Linked DNA regions of Cricetulus griseus. The protein of the gene in region 1 interacts with the protein of each later gene in a biochemical or structural test. Links are inferred from orthologs where the notes say so. Each region holds a gene or a part of one and is shown on either strand. Other genes may lie near its edges.

What was found. The genes of interacting proteins can lie anywhere in the genome.
Region 2: the proteins of Snta1 (region 1) and Gda interact in a test that uses a peptide from one of them, tested with the Homo sapiens proteins (2 studies listed by BioGRID and IntAct). The link is inferred for Cricetulus griseus from reciprocal best matches to the Homo sapiens genes SNTA1 and GDA.
Region 3: the proteins of Snta1 (region 1) and Frmpd4 interact in a test that uses a peptide from one of them, tested with the Homo sapiens proteins (2 studies listed by IntAct, with this or other methods). The link is inferred for Cricetulus griseus from reciprocal best matches to the Homo sapiens genes SNTA1 and FRMPD4.
Region 4: the proteins of Snta1 (region 1) and beta-1 adrenergic receptor interact in a test that uses a peptide from one of them, tested with the Homo sapiens proteins (2 studies listed by BioGRID and IntAct). The link is inferred for Cricetulus griseus from reciprocal best matches to the Homo sapiens genes SNTA1 and ADRB1.
Region 5: the proteins of Snta1 (region 1) and Adra1d interact in a test that uses a peptide from one of them, tested with the Homo sapiens proteins (2 studies listed by BioGRID and IntAct). The link is inferred for Cricetulus griseus from reciprocal best matches to the Homo sapiens genes SNTA1 and ADRA1D.

What each region holds. Positions count from the first base shown.
Region 1 is NC_048599.1:25,233,058-25,236,557, forward strand, and holds part of Snta1 (alpha-1-syntrophin), read left to right. Parts: intron 1-1,398; coding exon 1,399-1,584; intron 1,585-3,500. UniProt on the Homo sapiens protein: Adapter protein that binds to and probably organizes the subcellular localization of a variety of membrane proteins. May link various receptors to the actin cytoskeleton and the extracellular matrix via the dystrophin glycoprotein complex.
Region 2 is NC_048596.1:39,790,672-39,794,961, forward strand, and holds the start of Gda (guanine deaminase), read left to right. Parts: upstream 1-1,490; 5' UTR 1,491-1,553; intron 1,554-4,290. UniProt on the Homo sapiens protein: Catalyzes the hydrolytic deamination of guanine, producing xanthine and ammonia.
Region 3 is NC_048604.1:102,458,291-102,462,278, forward strand, and holds the start of Frmpd4 (FERM and PDZ domain-containing protein 4), read right to left. Parts: upstream 2,801-3,988; 5' UTR 2,789-2,800; coding exon 2,751-2,788; intron 1-2,750. UniProt on the Homo sapiens protein: Positive regulator of dendritic spine morphogenesis and density. Required for the maintenance of excitatory synaptic transmission. Binds phosphatidylinositol 4,5-bisphosphate.
Region 4 is NC_048596.1:4,713,453-4,716,830, forward strand, and holds beta-1 adrenergic receptor, read right to left. Parts: upstream 1,902-3,378; coding exon 501-1,901; downstream 1-500. UniProt on the Homo sapiens protein: Beta-adrenergic receptors mediate the catecholamine-induced activation of adenylate cyclase through the action of G proteins. This receptor binds epinephrine and norepinephrine with approximately equal affinity.
Region 5 is NC_048599.1:47,030,694-47,034,809, reverse strand, and holds the start of Adra1d (alpha-1D adrenergic receptor), read right to left. Parts: upstream 2,801-4,116; 5' UTR 2,712-2,800; coding exon 1,619-2,711; intron 1-1,618. UniProt on the Homo sapiens protein: This alpha-adrenergic receptor mediates its effect through the influx of extracellular calcium.

The DNA.
Region 1 (3,500 bases):
AAGCAAAAGACATTTGAGGCTGATGAGATGACTCAGAAGCAGTGGTTTTCAACCTTCCTAATGCTTTGACCTTTTAACATAATTCTTCATGTTGTGATGACCCCCAACCTTAAAATTATTTTTGTTGCTATTTCATAACTGTCATTTTGGCCTGGTGGTGGTGGTGGCTCACACCTTTAATCCTAGCATTTGGGAGGCAGAGGCAAGCAATCTCTGTGAGTTAGAGACCAGCCTGGTCTACAGAGTGAGTTCCAGGACAGGCTCCAAAGCTACAAAGAAACCCTGTCTTGAACCCCCCCAAAAGATAACTGTAATTTTGCTACTGTTATGAACCATAATGTAAAGATGTGATATAAAGACTATCTGATTCCACCCCTGTGAAAGAGTCGTTTGACCCTCAAAGGGGTTGTGATCCAGTGGTTGAGAACCACTGGCTCAGAGGGTAAAGATGTCTTCTCTCAAGACTGCAGACCAGATTGATCTCCAGGACCCAAATGGTCCTGGAGAGAACCAAGTCCTGCAAGTTGTCCTCTGACTCCCACATTGTACTATATAGGACATGTGTATTTGTATACACGCATAAGACACAAAATAAATACATGTTGAATTATTTAAAATGACATTTGAGATTTTAACAATAAAGTAGTTCAGTGAAATGTATTATTTTCTTAGATCAGAGATGAAATTCAGATATACTTTTGAAATTTCTAGAACTTAAGGCCTTCCTTTCCAGTGTGAATCCTGGTTAGTAAAGCCCATTTAACTATTTATTTTTGAGATGGCCTTGTATACATCCCAGGCCGGCCTCAAACTCCCTTCATAGCTGAGGTTGATCTGAACTTCTGGCCTTCCCCACCCCCTTCCCCACATTAACTTCCCAAGTGCTGGGATAGCAGGCTTTGTGTACCACACCCAGCTCTGGATTCTAAAACTTGCTGATTGTAGAAGAGGTCCCTTCAGGCCATAGCAACCACTACTTTTCCCTTGACTCTAGATGGGGGTTATCAGTAAATTTTCATACTGTAGAAAATTGCTTAAAATCCAAAACATTTAAAAAATCAGTGAAGTGGTGAACAAACAAAACATTTAAACAAAAGATCTAGGAACCAAAATATAGCATTATGGATTTAGAAAATATATTATTTGTCTGTCTTGCTATATCTCTGAGTGACTCTGCACTCAAGGCACTCCATTCCTGCCTCAGCCTCCTAAATGTTGGAATTGTGGCTGCATGTCACCAAGTCTGGCTGTGGTCAAACTCCTAAGTTTCCTCCCTTTATTTCTCACTATTTGCTCATTTTCCCTTTCCCAGCACTGAGTCAGAATCAATTTCACCTTGGTAAGTTTCCCATTTTGAAGCACACGCCTCAGTTTCCCCTTCCTTCTGTGCCTGTGCAGGGGGCCGGGAAAACAAGATGCCTATTCTCATTTCCAAGATCTTCAAGGGACTGGCAGCAGACCAGACGGAGGCACTCTTTGTTGGGGATGCCATCCTGTCTGTGAATGGTGAAGATTTGTCCTCTGCCACCCATGATGAAGCCGTACAGGCCCTCAAGAAGACAGGCAAGGAGGTGGTGCTGGAGGGTAAGTACCAGGGAACAGAGCCGGAGGGCTGGGAAGGGCTGTTGTAATTTCTTTCCTGCTTACCCCAGGCACCAAGTGGCTCCAGCCTGGTCTTGAGGGATGGGATGTGGGCATGAAAATAGAATCAGCACCTACCTGGGGTCACCCTGGGGGGAGAAGCACAGAGCTAAGTAGCACTGGTTTGTATTTCTTGTCTCTCATTCACTAGTAGTGTGGTCTTGGACAAATCACTTCATTTCCAAGAACCTTGATTTCATCTTAAAATGGGGACATAACTCCGGGCTCTCTGGGTTGTGACTAGGATTTGTCACCTATTGGGAAGCTAAGGGAAAGGGAAGAATGGGGACTGGGAAAGGACAACTAGATTCTTTGCTAAAGGGCTGATGGAGCATTTAACTTCAGGTTCTTTTATCATCTGTGGCCCTCAAATCCTGAGATATGTAGTGACTCGTCACATCCAGTGAGGACCAGAGAAGTGCTTTGAGGAGAACCTTAATTGGGTGGCTCTCTCCACAACCTGTTCATGTGTGGTCTTGGAGACACTCACTTTTTCTGGGTCTCAGTTTCTCCATTGTTGCATAAGCCCCGTGATGTGGTTATTTGTTATCTGCCTTTTGACACTCTCAGGAGGTTTCTGCTTTGCTCAGCCCTTTCCTCAAGCTCCACTCTGTCAGCTCCAAACGCCTGTGGGGGCCTGAAGAATGTATTTTTGGCTTCTTGCCCAGAATGGGAACTGAGAGATGGTGGGGGCTGATACACAGTGCCATGGCTAGCAAAGCTGCTGAGCTCAGTCCCAGACTCAAATCCTGCCAAGTTTCCCCACAGGGGTCTCCAAGACGCCACAGAAGTAGAGAGGCTTTGGGACCTTGGGTGACCTTTGACACTTTCAAAGACTTATTTTTATCTCATGTGAATGGGTGTTTGCTGGCCTGTATGTTTGTGTATAGTACCTTGCCTGCATGTCTGTGCACTACGTATGTGTATAGTACCCTGGTCCTCCTTTAACCCACTCTTAACCATTGAGCTATTATTGCCCTAGACCCTCACCTTTGCCATGTTTGTGGTTCAAGACCTCAACTCCCATGCAGTTTTATTTTTCTTCATATTTTAGGCTCATCTACAACTGGTATTGATACATTTTATTTCATTGTGCATAGTGTTTTGTTTCTCAGTCTAGAATGTTAATCCTTAAAAGGTTAAAAGTATATCAAGCAGGGCTGGGGAGATGGCTCTGAGGTTAAGAGCACTTGCTGCTCTTCCAGAGGTCTTGAGTTCAATTCCCAGTAACCACATGGTGGATCACAAACATCTATAATGAGATCTGGTGCCCTCTTCTGATCTGCAGGAATATATGCTGCAGGCATAACACTTTATACATAACAAATAAATAAATCTCTTTTTAAAAAAAAAAGTATATCAAGCAGTTACATGAGTAATATAATCAAGGTCAGGTCTACTTTAATCACAGCAGCACTCAGGATGCAGAGGCAGGAAGACCTTTGTGAGTTCAAGGCCAGTCTGGTCTATATAGGGAGGTCCAGGTAAGCTAGAACTACAAAATGAGATCCTGTCTCAAAAAAGAATAAGAATAAGAAATTGGAATGGAGAGATGGTTCAGCAGTTACTCCTCTTCTGGAGGATTGAGTTTGATTCCAAGCACCCACATAATGGTTTACAACCACCTGAAACTCCAGAAACTCTAGTTCCAGGGGATTCAACACCCTCTTCTGACCTCTGGGGGCACCAGGCATGCAAGTGGCACACATAGCTACATACAGTCAAAATACACATTAAAAATGAATAGACCTAATAAAAAGAAAAAAAAAGTCATATTCCCAGGGCCTCTGGTCTTCCAGGCAGCATTCCTCCAGTGAGATATATCCCCCAGCTCCTATCAATCATATTTAACAACACAG
Region 2 (4,290 bases), on another chromosome or scaffold:
CCACATGGAGGCTGATAGTGAACAACCACCTGGAACTCCAGTTCCTGTGGATTGGCCATCATCTTCTGCTCCCCCACCCATGTACTGCACACATATGGGGCAAGCAAATACATTCAGGTGAAACACTCTTCATCGTAAAACGTAAAAAACTCATATTACTTTATCTTAGAAATAAAATTTAATATCTCTGTGCTACTGGAATGCTAGATACAGTCACTTTCTTTCTTCCTTCCTTCCTTCCTTCCTTCCTTTCTTTCTTTCTTTCTTTCTTTCTTTCTTTCTTTCTTTCTTTCTCTCTTTCTCTTTTTTAAAAAAACAAAAAACAGGATGCCAGTATGCCTGTACCGAAGCTTCACTTCTTAAGGTCAAACCTGGCATGTTTTTTTTTTTCCCTATAAAATTGAGATTTTTTAAAAAGAATGAAATACATAAAACCAAGTAGGATGGTAGAATTAGATGTTTCCATTATTCAGAATTGCAGGGCTGGGAGGATGTGGTTTGGTGACAGAGGACTTGCCGAGCATGCGCCGAGCCCTATGTTTAGTCCTTAGCACTGAGAACAAACATCTCATCAAAACAAAAGCCTTTGGTTCCGGGAAGCATTTGAAACAACCTCCCCAGCCTCTCCCACCTCCCTCCCAAGTGATGACTGTACATGGAAAATGACTTAATCCAGTTGAGCAAAAACAACATATCAATGACTCATATTAAGAAAGAAAGCACAGCCTTTGGCTGCATGAATGGAGGCTTCTACAATCCTTCTTACCACCCCCTCCCTCTGCAACTGTCCAAACAGTCCGTGGGAAGAAGGAAGAACGCGGGATTTGTGCTAGGTTTATGGCGATTGAAATGAGAATAAGGAAAACTATCTCACCATCCAGACAGGATTGGGAGCTTTAGAAGCGGCGTGTGGTTAGGCAGAGTAAGAGGACAAGAGCTGGAGGGATGGAATGGAGCAAGCCAGGCAAGGCAAACTTGTTTTGTACCAACTTAGATTTCTTTTCCCCACATCTTTGAACTTCCCATATTTTGGTCCACACCCTCTGTCAACTTTTGCAGACCTGTGCAGATCTGTCTGAGAGACCTCCGGTCTGAGGACCTGAAAGAGTGGGGTGGGCCACAGTCTGATGCAGTAAACAACCTCCCTTCAGTTCCAGTGTACTTGTACATGTGAATGCAACAAAGAAGGCTACGATCCAAGGAAGGTTACTTGAGTTCAGAAAAACATGTCATTTATTTATTCCTGTAAGGACATACTAAATATTAAGAGAGCAGCCCTTTCCCAGAACTTTTTCAGGAAGTTTAAACACAATTGTCTGGCACATACTAAAGGTTAGATCTAGAAAAGCATGGAAACAAGATAGAAGGCCATGTCCAGAGCCAGGGTACACTGAGGACAGCACCTAGCACATCCTTCCAACAGATTGGATTCTATCGCTATATTCTGATATCCAAACAAGAACAAACGTAAGTTCTAAATTGAGTGTATATGTTTGTTGCAGGACACATGAAATCACATCCAAGAACAACCCAGGAAACAAAATTCACCTCAGGTAAAAGGCCCTCTGCCTTTTTCCCCTGGAGCCTGTCTCACAGTTCCCTGCAGCATTGTTCGCTGTGGGACATTCAATGCTCTTTGTTATCCTTCTCCATGCTCACCTCACTCATCATCTCCCAGAGACACCCCACTGTCCTTTCTTAGAGCTTTCATATGTCACTCAGCCCGTGATGCCAATCTGATGCATACAGAAGTGCCTCCATGCGTTAGCCTCAATTTCAAATATTTATGAGAATTTCATTTCCTCAGCCAGAAAATAAACCTTCAAGATGACTTCTGCTACATTTGCTTCAACTTTCTCAGTTTGATGGGCATATGTTGTAACTGAAATAATTCCCGATTCCTTGATGTGCTGCTTTTCTGGGAACAGTAAGAATCCCTCCAAGAGCATGTTTATCATCCTTCCATCCAATCTTGGCATTTCTGCTCGCAGGCTCTAGATGTGATGATGATTTAAGTGTTACCCTGTCACACGCAGGTGTGACTTCTCCACAGAACAACCTGGAAAACAATCTGTAATTCTGTTTGACTGTGTGTGCTGGTCCATGTCCCCTCCTTAGCTGTCTAGTTGAAATGCCTTTGTGTAACCTTACCCTGGCATATATGTGGTAACTCTCAAGAGGGTGTTAAAAGGGCTGGAGAGATGATGGCTCAACAAATAAGAACGCTTGCTGCCAAGCATTAGGCTAAGCTTGGGATTCCTGTTGAAGAGAGGGAGAAAGGATTGTAGAAGCCAGAGGGGTCAAGGACATCCCAAGAAAACCCACAGAAACAACTAACCTGAACACATAGGATCTCACAGACTCTGAACCAACAACCAGGGAGCCTACATGGGACTGACCTAGGCTGTCTACTTATATGTGACAGTAGTGTAGCTTGGTCTACTTGTGGGATGCCTAAGAGTGGGAGCAGGGGCTTCCCTAATACTTTGATTGGCTCTTGGAACCTGTTTCTCCTACTGGGTAGCCTTGCCCAAACTTGATACAAGGGCAGTGCTTAGTCTTACTGCAACGTGATCCGCCATGCTTTGCTGACACCCATGGGAGGCCTGCCCCTTTCTGAACAGAAATAGAGAAGGAATGGATTGAGGTGGGGTGGAGGAGAAATTAGGGGAGGGGATAGGAGGACAGGAAGTAGGGAAAACTGCAGTCAGTAAAAAAGCAAAGTCTATTCTGCGGCCTTGAGAGATGGCTCAATGGTTAATCGTACTGGCCGCTCTTCCAGAAGACATGGGTTCAATTCCTAGCACCCACATAGGCAGTTCACAGTCATCTGTAAAGCCAGTCCCAGTGGATCTTGTGCCCTCTTTCTGGCCTTCTGGGGTACTACATGCATGTGATGCACAGATATACATGACCTCGAAACACATACAAATTTTAAAAATAGATTCTTTTATAAATGGAGTCATGATCTTACTTAATTTGTCTGCTCTGAAGGCGTGCTCCCTAGATAGCCAGCGCTATTTCTTTGTATGTTGCTGTTGACTTCGTAAGCAAGATCCATAGATCACATTGGAATATGTTTCCTCATGTGACTTAAAGACTGTGTGGAAACCACAGGCACAATGCCTTTGGAGTTCTGCTGAGAAGAAAAAAAACAGGACCACATTTAGCTTTTCTGCTGTCTCTTGACTTCTCAGATGGAGTCACCAGGTAAAAATGAGCTAGAATAAAATGCTTGCTTTTTCTTCCAGAGGACTTGGGAATGGCCTTGTGATTAGCGTGACAGGTACCCACATAGTCAGTGCTTGGCTGCAGCTGGTGGCACTGCTGGGAGTTGGTGGAACCTTTCCAAGGTTGGATCTAGTGGCAGAGCGCTAGGTTACTGGGGGTTGACTATTGAAGAGGACAATGGAACTCTGCCACCACCTTTGTTTTCCCAGCCAGCTTTCCCAACTGTCCTAGTTATGGTTACTATTACTGTGATGAAACACCATGACCAAAGAATTTGGGAATGGAAAGGTTTATTCAGCTTATGCATCCCCATTACAGTTCATCGTCAAAGGACGTCAGGACAGGAACTCGAGCAGGGCAGGAACCTGGAGCCAGGAACTGACACAGAGACCATGGAGGAATGCTGCTTACTGGCTTGTTCTTCATGACTTAGCCTGCTTTCTTACAGCACCCAGGACCATCAGCCCAGGGATGGTACCACCCATAGAGGGCTGGGCTCTCCCCATCAATCACTAATCAAGAAAATTCCCTACAGGCCTTCCTATAGCCAGATATTATGGTGGCATTTTTTCACTTGAGGCTCCCTCCTCTCTGATGACTCTAGCCTGTGTCATGTTGACATAAAACTAGCCAGTACACTGACCATGATGGAAAGCTTGCAATAGTCCCAAAAGTTATTGAGCTAGTGACCACAGCAACTCCATAGACAGGAAGGACCCTTGTACCATAACTAGGAGGGAGTGCCCTCTGTTAATCTCCACAGCTGTGTCCCAAGCAGGTTGAAAAGAGAAAAATGTCAAACAGGGTGACAACAAGACATATTTTCATTTAAGATTGAGGACTAGACAGCAAAGATCATTTTTGGTATCTGTGAGAAAAATGCATTGGGTTTGCCTAGTGAATGCTGTGTGTGCATGTGTGTACGTGTACTAATGTGCCGAGCTCCTAATTAGCTTGGAGATCTTGGGATGGGATATTTATACACAGTGGTTTGGAGGTAGGATGCTGGTTGATGGGTATGACCCAAGAGGATGCAGGTGGTACCTGGAGATGTGAGGG
Region 3 (3,988 bases), on another chromosome or scaffold:
TTTGAATTACTACCTTTTGAAAGACTGTCTGGGATATATGTGAAACTCCAGAAAAGCCAAACAGAGGGAAAAAACTAGACACTAATCAGAAAAGTCTGAAATATAACCTGTAATAAAGTCCCAATTAATGCCTTTAAAAATACATTTCTTTGCCTCTTTTTTCAGTTCTTACTACAAATATCTGGATTATTTTAAGTGAACCAACTGAGTGCATCTGTAGCTATGTTGGAAAACAGGTAGCATATTATAATATCATACATTGTCTTAACAGAAGAAAGGACTTGGACAAACTGCACAAAGCTAACAGTTTAGAATCCAGGGTGTGAGACAGGTGTGAGGCCTTTCTACCTGTCTTTTGAGTGTTTTGAGACTGGGTTCCAAAAGCCATACTCATGTTTCTTAATCTGTGAGCACAGCATTCAAAAGGCAGAAGACACTTCTATATTCCCTGCCATGGGTTATGTTTAAGGGCAAAGCAGGTCTTCCCAAACAAGGGGCAGTTCCTGTGTAAGCAGTGCACTCCAGAGGGGAGATCTTCTGTCTGCAGCAATTATGGGAAAGAGGAGGGATCTGGGTTATAAAGACTAGAAAAGCAGCCATAACAATCCAGTGAGTTTTCACCCTGTTGGCTTCCGAGCAATTCTCACTTGCGTGTGGGGTTGAGTTGGGAGTACAGAAGACCCAAACAATGTAGGCAGATACCTTTATAAAAATGACCTCTACTCTCCATATGATCTTATATTTGCTAATCAAGGCATAGGCAGCTTGGCCGAAACAATGAATAATTTTCCCCTTCCTCTCAAATCTCTACTCAGTTATAATTGGACTCTGGCCAACTGTGCTTCCTGATTCCAAATCTATTTCACTAATTTCTTGTAATTAAGAATATTTCAGTCTTAATTAACAAAGACAGTCTGAAATTTCATTGTTGAAAACACATACACACATTCACACACACACACACACACACACACACACACACACACACACACACACACACACACAGTTTAAATGCTTTTCTCACTCTTGGTGGTGTCTTAACGAGTGAAGCATAGAATATAACTTTGACCCATCAATTTCATATGTTCTGCCCTTCAAACTTTAGATGTAAACCCCAATCAATTGAAAACAGGAAGAAAGTGTGTGTGTGTGTGTGTGTGTGTGTGTGTGTGTGTGTGTGTGTATGTGCGCGCGTGCATACGTGTTTTCAACCTAGAGACTTGTACATGTAGAACAAACACTACCATTAAGTAAGTGTCGTATATACATTCAATGGAATATTATCCAGCATTAAAAGGAATTAATTCTAACATGTCTTATAATATGGATAGGTTTTTAAAAACCTTATGTAAAATTAAGACAGCCCAATACAAGAGAACAAATATTATATGATTCTATGTATATGGGAGTTCCTAGAATAAGCAACAGAGACAGAAAAAAAGACCAGATGCTATTGGGAGGTAAAAGTAGGAGAAACAAATACTTATTACTGTATAATATGAATTTACCAGTGGCTACATCCAACTTCTAGCTTTGATTTGCTTAGTAGTATGAATACAATTAAAGTGGGAATGCAAAGGTACTTGGAAGCTATTACTTAAGCAGTTCACTCTCCTCCTGAACCTTCTATATCTTGTGATACTGGCTTACTTTGTTTTTAGGCAGACAACATCTAAGAGTGGCAATGCCCTGCTTAGGAAATTTTTCAAGGGTAGTGGTGTTTGCTATTGTCAACTTGACACAAATTGTAGTCATGTGAGGGAATAGAGTATCAATTGAGAAGGCCTGTAGTCAAGTCTAACTAGGCATTTTCTTGACTGATGGTGATGTGGGAGTACTCAGATCACTATGGGTAGTATCATGCCTTGAAGATGATCCTGGGTTGTTTAAGAAAATAAGCTAAGCCAGCCAGGAACAATCCAGCAAGCATCTTTCCTCCATGGTGCTGCATCAGTCCCTATTTCCAGGTTCCTGCTTGAGTTCTTTCCCTGACTTGCCTCAGTGATATACTGTGACCTAAAAGTGCAAGCTAAATACACTCTTGATTTTTTGTCAGAGTGGTTTAGTGCAGCAAAAGGAAGCAAACAAAGACAAAGGTGATACAAAAGTCATGGAATTTGACAGTATTAAATAAGTATATAACACCATGGATGCTACTAAATAATACATCCAAAATGGCTTAGGTAAGGAATTCTGGGATGTACATTCACGTAACACAAACAAAATAAGACTGCCATCAAAATCTATAATCTAAACCAATATATAAACAATAATTTGTAGTAAGAGGTATTATGAAAACACATAATCATTTTAGTTGATAACTCAGTAACATTCTTGACCACTCCATGAAAATGTTTGAAATAACAAGATTCCTTAGTTTTAGGCAATGGATGCAACTGACCAATATTTCATAGTGCACACTTCTGCTATGAGCAAAAATTGCCATGCTATGGAAGTAATTACCTGTGATCCACTTATCTAGCCAATAATATAGCATACATGTATATGCAAGCTACCCTAATTAAACACAATGAGTTATTAGAAAAATAAAGAGACACAAAAGTAAGAAGGGGTCATCTCAGGGAGAGGTTTCCAGAGGGAGGGGGCGTAAGAAAGGTAAGTAGAGGGTCAATATGATCAAAAACAATTTTATACATTATACAATTGTCACAGAATAAATAAACTCTTTTTAAAAATCAAACAAAACTAGAAGAGCGTGGGACAAATTCTTTGGTGTCTTTTTAACCTACTTGATGAAGTAGTCACGGCCATCTCGGTTTGTCATCATCTCCCATCCATAGGGTGGCACCTGGTTCAAGGCCCAGGTTCCTGAGGGAGGCGGCCAGCCCGAAGACTTGGTCCTGTGGCTGGAAACAAAGAGAATATATCATCACCTCTGACTCTTAAACATACCTTTTAGGTCACAGTACAAGGATTCATGACTTGTTCCTCTAAATTGTGAGCTGTGGGCATAACCGACCATATACCAACTGTAAAGAACATCTTTACATCAGATAGCATGCTAGTCATTTTGTATGCAATAGAACACTCATTTTCCACAGAATCCACATGAGGGAAGTATACTTATACATTATATGGATAGGAAACCAATGGGTTAGTAAAATTAAGTAACTTTGCTCTGGGAAGCTTTGATCAAAACTTCTTTGTATTTCTGAGCACAAAAGGCATAGCAGATATGCCAGATATTTAGGCATGTAGATTTCACATTGTCATATAAAGAAACACACATGAGAATCAATTAATGTTTTATGCTTTTATGAAAAAAGCAAGCTGAAGTTTCCTGGATTCCTATGATCAAAATATAAAATGTATACTCACAGTAAGCACATGCCAAACAAAGTCAGTCATGGAACATTAGACAAACCCTCACTGTTAACTTGTACCAAATATATACACATTATCTTTTCCACTTTCTAAGGCCCCAAAGTCAATTTGTCTGTCAGTACAGTGAAAGACTGGAAGGTGTTTTCTATGTATCTGTCTTCTAAAAGCTAAAGAAACAGCGCATCACTCCTGTGACAAGCCACTGTGACAGGCAGCATTGCACAGTCACAGTCCATAATTGGAAAGCTGTAGCCACTTTCTGAAGTGATCACCAAATGCTGGTTTGAACTCTTCATCCCTGCCCTCCCATGAATGCCCACCACTCATTCATTCCTTACCCATGATACTGGAGGGAAGCAAGGAACGCCATTTTAGCCTTAGTCCACATCCCTTGTCATGTTGCTCCTTATGTCAAAGAGAAGTAGCTCTTTTTATAGCCAGCCTCTAAGATCCTGCAGTGGTTCCAAATGCCAGATTATCACCAACCAAAGTAAGCAGGGAAAGAGTGGTGATGATGTTTGCAGGGCCTCACAGTCAGTGCAGCAGCAGCCCCCAGAGAGTCCTTTACAACAAGAAGGAAGCTCTTTCTCTGGTGTGATGAATGAAGGACAGCCTAGAGAGTGAGTGCAGGCAGGGCATGATT
Region 4 (3,378 bases), on another chromosome or scaffold:
CTCCCACCAGCACCCCAAACTGGAGCTGACTACTTAGGTTCCTAGATGTGGAACCGGAAGCCAGGTGGTAGACTTCATTCCCCCTTTACCCTCCCCACCTAGTTTCCACTCCGGTCCTTGCAGAAAATGTCAAAACCCATCTGGAAAACAAAACAAAACAAAAAACAAAAGCTAAAGGTGTATCACGAGAACACACAAAAGGCCGAACCCCAGAGAGAAAGGAACCCAAGACAAATCAGAAAGCCACACTCTCCCAACTCCTCCCAAACTTCCCTTTTTGCGCTGCGGACGGTCCGGGGCTTTGCTGTACGTCTGGGATGATTCAGATTCATCTGTGAGTTCACCTGCTTTCGGTCTTGAGTAAACAGAGGTCTCCTCCCTCCTCTGCGGAGCGGCTCAGGGGCGCCCGGCAAGCTCTCTTCCTCTAGGGACGCGGAGCCTGTGTCCAGGCCGGGACCGTGGGGCCGGCGTCCGTGCGCCCGCCGGGAGAGCCTGGCTCTCTACACCTTGGATTCCGAGGAGAAGTCCCGGCGCCCCGGCTCGTCCAGGCTCGAATCGCTGTCCACAGTCGTCACCCCGCCGTTGCAGCCAGCCCAGGGCTCCAGCAGGCGCGCGGGTGCCGTGATCCCCGCATCGTCTTCGTCGTCGTCCGAGGGAGCTCCAGGGGACGGCGGCGGCCCAGCTCCCGCCAGGCAGCCCGAGGCGCGCGGCCGGTCCCCGTGGGATGCGCGGCGTCTGCGGACGGCCCGGCGCGCGCAGCAGAGCAGGCGCTGGAAGGCCTTGCGGAAGTCGGGGCTGCGGCAGTAGATGATGGGGTTGAAGGCCGAGTTGGCGTAGCCCAGCCAGTTAAAGAAGACGAAGAGGCGATCGGGCACCAGGTCGCGGTGGAAGGCCTTCACCACGTTGGCCAGGAAGAAGGGCAGCCAGCAGAGCGTGAACACACCCATGATGATGCCCAGCGTCTTGAGCGCCTTCTGCTCGCGCAGGGCCACGAGGCGCGACGGCCGCCGCTTGCTGGAGCGCCCGTTGGCCAGCGAGTCTGCGGGGCGCGGCGGCCCTGGCGACGGCGAGGGCGCGGGTGAGGGCGGCCGAGCGGGGCCGCCGAGGAAGCGGCGCTCGCAACTGTCGATCTTCTTCACCTGCTTCTGGGCCTCGCGGAACACCCGCAGGTACACGAAGGCCATGATGCACAGGGGCACGTAGAAGGAGACGACGGACGAGGCGATGGCGTAGGCCCGGTTGGTGACGAAATCGCAGCACTTGGGGTCGTTGTAGCAGCGGCGTGCCTCGTCGCTCTCGGCCCGCCACCAGTGCATGAGGATGGGCAGGAAGGACACCAGAGCCGAGATGGCCCACACCGTGCACACGAGGGCCCGCGCTCGCGCGCGCGTCAGCAGGCTCTGGTAGCGGAAGGGCGACGTGATGGCGAGGTAGCGGTCCAGGGCGATGACACACAGGGTCTCGATGCTGGCCGTCACACACAGCACGTCCACCGAAGTCCAGAGCTCGCAGAAGAAGGAGCCGTACTCCCAGCGGCCCCACACCACGATGGTGGCCCCGAAAGGCACCACCAGCAGCCCCATGACCAGGTCGGCGCTGGCCAGGGACATGATGAAGAGGTTGGTGAGCGTCTGCAGCCGCGGGGTCTTGGCGATGGCCACGATCACCAGCACGTTGCCCGCCACGATGAGCAGCACGATGAGCGCCAGCAGGAGGCCCATGCCCGCAGTCCACGGCTGCGACAGCGGCGCTGAGCCCTCGCTGGTGGGAGGCAGCAGCGAGGCGGGCGGCGACGCGAGCACCAGCAGGCGCGCCGCGGTGGCCGCGCCGTCGGGCAGCGGCGCGGCCGACGACAGGTTGCAGGGTTCGGAGGCGCCCAGGGCGAGCGCCCCCGCGCCCATGCCGAGCTGCGGAGGCCGGGGGCGGGGGGTGTGGCGGGGCTGGGCCGCGGCTGGGGAACACCCCAGGAGCCGGGGCTGCGGGGCCCGCGCGGGAGGTCGCGGCCAGGTCAGGGCAGCCGCGGCTCGGGGCCGGAGGCATGGACTCCGAGCGCCTTCTCCGCCGGAGCCGAGCGCTGTCGCCGCCGCCGCCGCCGCCGCTGCTGCTGGAGCCGCTGCCGCTGCTGGAAGAGCCGCCGGGACCTCAGCATGTTTCTGAGCGCGCGGGGCCGACAGCTCCGGCCCCACACCCCACCCCGCTGCCACCCCCCTAGCCAGCCCCGGGGCCGCGCGTCAAGCTCCCGCAGCCAATCGCCGCCAAGGCACGCCCCCGACAACGGTGCCCCCACCCCCCAACACCCGGCACCCCCTCCTACCCGCGATTGAGCCGCTCCAAAGATTCCGGGCGGACTGCGGAGCCAGCATCTCCCCGGCACCCACCGGCTGCAGCGAGCGCGCCCTTTCCGGCTCCGGCAGGCTTCTACCGGAGTCGGGTCTGCTGCGTCCCCGCCCCCTCCAGGGGGTCCCCGCTCGCCCCAGCACCAGCTCTCTTTTTCCCTCGGCGCGGCGCGGCTCCCGCCCTAGCTCTCCTCCTTCCCACCGGCGCCCCGCAGCTCCCGCGCCGCTCTGCCTCCTCTGCCGAGTTCCCTGCAGCGAGGAGGGAATCTTGTTGGCGTTCTCAAGACGCCCAGTGCCTTGAACAGCCTGTCTGCTGGGGTTGGAGGAGTTTAGCTGTGAGACTGGTTCTGCCATCAGGCAGCCTGGCCCTTCCCTGCTCGAGAGGGGACCCGGCCAGCCTGACAGCTTGGGGGGAATGGGAAGTGGGTGTTCGTGGTTAGAGGAAAGTTTCCAGCCAGGCCGGTTGCTGGAGCAGAGCGCGCATCTGTCAGAAAGGCTCTCTGGCTGTTCTCGCTCAGAGCTGTGCTGTCACTCAAGCCCAGTCAATGGAGAAAGGAAGTGAAGGTTTCTGGGTGTTAACAGTCAACGCCAGGGACCAGTTGGACACACACACACACACACACACACACACACACACACACACACACACACACACGCACGCACGCGCGCGCACACGCGCACACGCGCACACGCGCACACGCGCACACGCGCACACGCGCACACGCGCACACGCGCACACGCACACACGCACACATACACACACACACCTCCCAACCCCAGCCAAGGAGAATGACGCCACGGTGTGTGCCGAGTATGAAGGAGAAGTTTGCAACATGCAGTCTAGAGTAGATGACACCACCGCCGCCACCCCGCGTAGAAAGGACACACCGAATGACGCTTCAGAGTTTTTGGCTCTGATTTTAACACCTTGACACCTGCATTTGTGCTCTGTCGCGCCCATTGGGTTTTATAATCCGAGCTGAGTCAACACAAGGAGCTATTCCTTTTGGTTGACGTCATGAACTAGGATTGCAGATTTCTT
Region 5 (4,116 bases), about 22 Mb from region 1:
CTCTCATCTGCTGGGGTGGGGCATCAGTGTAAGACATTCACATTTGCCTGAATCACAGCATGCACAGCAACTCATTGATGCTCACAATTCTTGTCAAGGTCACAAGTGTTACCATCATCACCATCCTCCCTTAAAGATGAAGAAACAGAGGCCTGAGGCTACATAGCTAGTGAGAAGCAGAGTTGGGATTTGAACTCAAGCTGCCTGACACCAGAGCCTGTGTCCTCAATGAAGAACAATATTGCTCCTCATATGCCAGGCACCATTCTGGGTACTATGGATGCAGTGGAGACACAGTTGAAAAGAAAAGCTAGAGAGCCGGTGAGAGAGTGAAACACCAAGGCAAAGGGGGTATTTAAACAGAAACCCACAGGTTGGGAGTTAGCTAAGAGGTTTGGGTGGGCATCCAGACAGAGAAAAGATCAAGTGAGACCAGAGATAGGTATCACAAGGAAGTAACTCACACAGGGTCAGGGCCAGGGCAGAGGGAGGAAGTCCTTCCCTGAATAGCCCCTTTCAGATGGGAATGGCATCTGTTGGGAACTCCTGCAGTTCGTGCCTATGGTCCTACTGTAAATACTAATAGTGACCTGTTTTGGTTTGGACAATAATAAATCTGAAGGCTACCCTCTGTAGGCTGTGGAAGACAGTTTTGTTCCCAAGTAGTATAAAAACACCAAGGGACTTGTAGGGGAGTGACACAACTGAACTATGGTATATAAAAGTCCCCATGGCTGCTGCTGCTGTGTGGGGGAGACTTGCAGGGGCTCAGGAGGGAGGGCCATTATTTCTTCCCTGAGTGAGTCTCACAAATGCAAGCAGCCAGGGGAACAGCTGGAGAGGTCGGTCCTGCTTGAACACATAGAGGTTGCAGCTATGAGCAAAGTGACCAGAGAAAAGAGCCTTAGAAATGCTGCCCCTTTCTCTTCTGTGCTGGTCTAGGCCCTTGGGCCCTGCTCCAGGGCTTCCAGGCTCAAGGGGTGGGAGGAATCCCCTGAGAACAGTCGTGTTTCCCCCAGGATTGCAGGGCTCTTGTAAGGGAACTAGTTCACTCCATAAATGACTATAAACAATAGCAACTCTCCCCTTGACAGTTTTCTCATCCTGTCCTTCCCACCCGAACAGGTTTCTTCCTTTAATCCCTTCAAGAGGAGATTTCAGAAGGGAAAGCCCACAGGGTTCTCACAGATACCAGTGGGGCCACTGAATGAACGCCTATTGGAGAAATCAGAGCCTCTGATGTCTACTGAGATACAAGGTGACTAGCCTGGGTCTGCTGATGAATGAGTGCACGTGGGCTTGCCCACTGTGTATCTATTTCCAGAGATGGGTATATTCGCTATGGGGCACATCCACTGCTGGCCACATATTACAGGGAGATGTTAGCCCAGGTTTCCAAGGAACTAACGCAAGCCCAAGGTTTGTAATGGCTACAAAAGGTAAGAAAAAGAATGATAAACCAGTAACAGGAAACCCAGAAGTACCAAGAGTCCCTTGCTCTCCCTCTTCAACAGTAAGCGACTAGGAAGTTCATAACCATTCACAGTCAGGCTGTGGGTCATCTAAGCCTTCCAGGAAGGGACTTGTCAGAAGGGTCTAATGTGAGGGGATCACTCACCCAGTGGCAGGACGAAGAAGAAGGGGAACCAGCAAAGGACGAAGACACCCACGACGATGGCCAGCGTCTTGGCAGCCTTCTTCTCGCGGGAAAACTTGAGCAACCTTACTGAGAGTGAGCTGCGCAAGGTGTGGCCCTTGCTACTCTGTGCCCCATGGGTTCCTTTGGCGCTAGTGGCTGCACCGCGACAGTGGATCCTCAGCACCACTTCGGAGGCCTTACCAGGCTCCCGCTTGATGCCTGCCTCGAGGCTGCGCGTGGTGCTGCGTGCGACCACATACACGCGGCAGTACATGACCACGATCACTGTCATGGGCAGGTAGAAGGAGCACACAGAAGAGAAGACAGCATAGCCCACTTCCTCAGTGATGCCACAGAAACGCTCATCCGGGGGCACTGGCTCCTTCCAGCCCAGTAGCGGTCCCACGGACACCACCAGGGCCACCGCCCAGAGCAGAGCCAGGATGGCAGCTGCCTTGCGCTCTGTCATAATGGCTGGGTACTTCAGTGAGTGGCGCACACCCACGTACCGGTCCACAGAGATGGTGCAGAGGCTAAGGATGGAGGCAGTGCAGCACAGGACGTCCACAGCGGCCCATACGTCGCAGAAGGTCCGGCCAAAGGCCCAAAAGCCTAGAACCTCCATAGTGGCCGAGAAGGGCAGCACAGCCGCACTCAACAGCAGGTCAGCCACCGCTAGGTTCACGATGAAATAATTGGTGACCGTTTGCAGGTGGCGGTTGCAGGCCACCGAGAGGATGACGAGCAAGTTGCCCGCTACGGCGGTGAGGATGAAGGCCGCTAGGAAGACTCCCACTCCCACGCCCTGTGCACTCACCACCAGCCCCCCGACGGCCGCCGAGCCATTCACCTCGCCTCCGGCCGCAGCCCCCGGTTCTCCCGTGGAGCTCTGGTTGTCCTCGCCGCTGCCGGTTCCCACCACAGCTCCGCCGCCAGTGGTCCCTGGCACGCCGCTCACCGCCGGGCCCTCAGGTCCAGCCGTGCCAGCTCCACCGCCTGCGCCGGAGCCCCCAGTGCTACTGTTGGAGCGGGGTCCTTCAAAAGTGACGCTCAGGAGGTCGCGGAAAGTCATCTCACGGCGCAGCCGTCGGGGCCCGAGCCCCGGCACAGGGCGAGCGAGTGGCGGCGGCACAGGGCGAGCAAGTGGCGGGAGGGGGGGCCCGCGGGCATCGCCGCAGCGCCGGAGCCAGACCCGCGCGCCGGTCCCGTCGGTCCTGCCGGTCCTGCCCAAGTTCCCGCCACGGAGGGGGCCGCAGGGGAGCTGTAGTGCAAGGGGAGAGGAGCGGAGGCCACCGGCCCGTGAAGGTCCCAGCGGGAACGGTGGCGCGAGGCAACGGATCTAGCGGTGGCCGCGGAGTCGCAGGGAGGGAAGGGCCGGGGCGGTCGCCCTGTGCCCTTCTCTAAGCGTGTCCAGGCGAGCGGCGGCTCCGGGAGCGGCAGTGCTGGCGGCGGCCTCTGCAGCGCTTGGGACTCTGAGCGGGGGCGGGACGGAGGAGGGGCGGCCGGCAGGGAGGAGGGGGCGGCCGACGCGAGCGAGGGCTGCGGGCTGGAGAAGCCGCTCTGCGCGACCAGCGGCTGAGGGGGTCCCTGCCGGTGCCCACGACTGCCTTCTACCCTAGCTGCCCCCTTGTCCTCCTTTCCTTGGCTGTCTGCGACCCCAGTCCTCTCTGCCCCAGTTGCGTCTCGCTGCCTCCCTTCCTCTCTCTAGACTCGCGGTCACTGGTCACTCTCTGCTTGCCCTTGCCCTAGCGGAGCATACAAGGTGCGATCCCCGGGGCTCTGGCTCCTGGCTCCTGCCGCCAGAGAGCAGCAAGAGCCTGGGATCTGTGGGTTCAGGGCTGGATGAGCAAACGCTGCTGCTAGACCGTCTGGATGTGTCTAACGCCCCTCCTCTTTTCTCTGGGGCGACTGGCCAGCCCAGGGTCTCTGGTGCGATGGTGGCATTGAGACAGTCCCGAAGGATGCTTGTGCTTGAGCTGAAGTTGGGCGTGACTGGCGTGGAACCAGATGGTGTGGCTATAGCCCCAGGACCCTGCCCACACTCTGAGTAATACCAACTTTGGCCCTGTTATTTTACTCTGCATCAGAGGTAGGAATAAATTTCCCTGTTGCTACTCAAAGAACTCGGACCTCCCTCTGGGCAGAGAAGGTCAAGTGCTGGAGGGTGGGAAAGGTTACCTAGGGTGGTTAAGTGGGAGGGAGCAGAGTAGTCCGCCTCCACTCTCCAGGCCCGGCCCTTATTGGCCTTTGGATCTGGAGCCTCCCTTCCTCACAAGTGAAAGGGGAGTAAAAATCACTTAGGGGAACCTGTGTTAGGGCTGCCCGCACTTCTCAGGTGAGTGGAGAATAGCAGAGCAAGAACTGATCGTGGAGAACAGAGGGCAGAGGTGACATGGCTCTGCTAGGAAGCAGGGACTAGGGAAGGAAAGGGGTCGGGAGGAGGAGCGCACACACGTGCTCCTGCACATGTGTTTTTG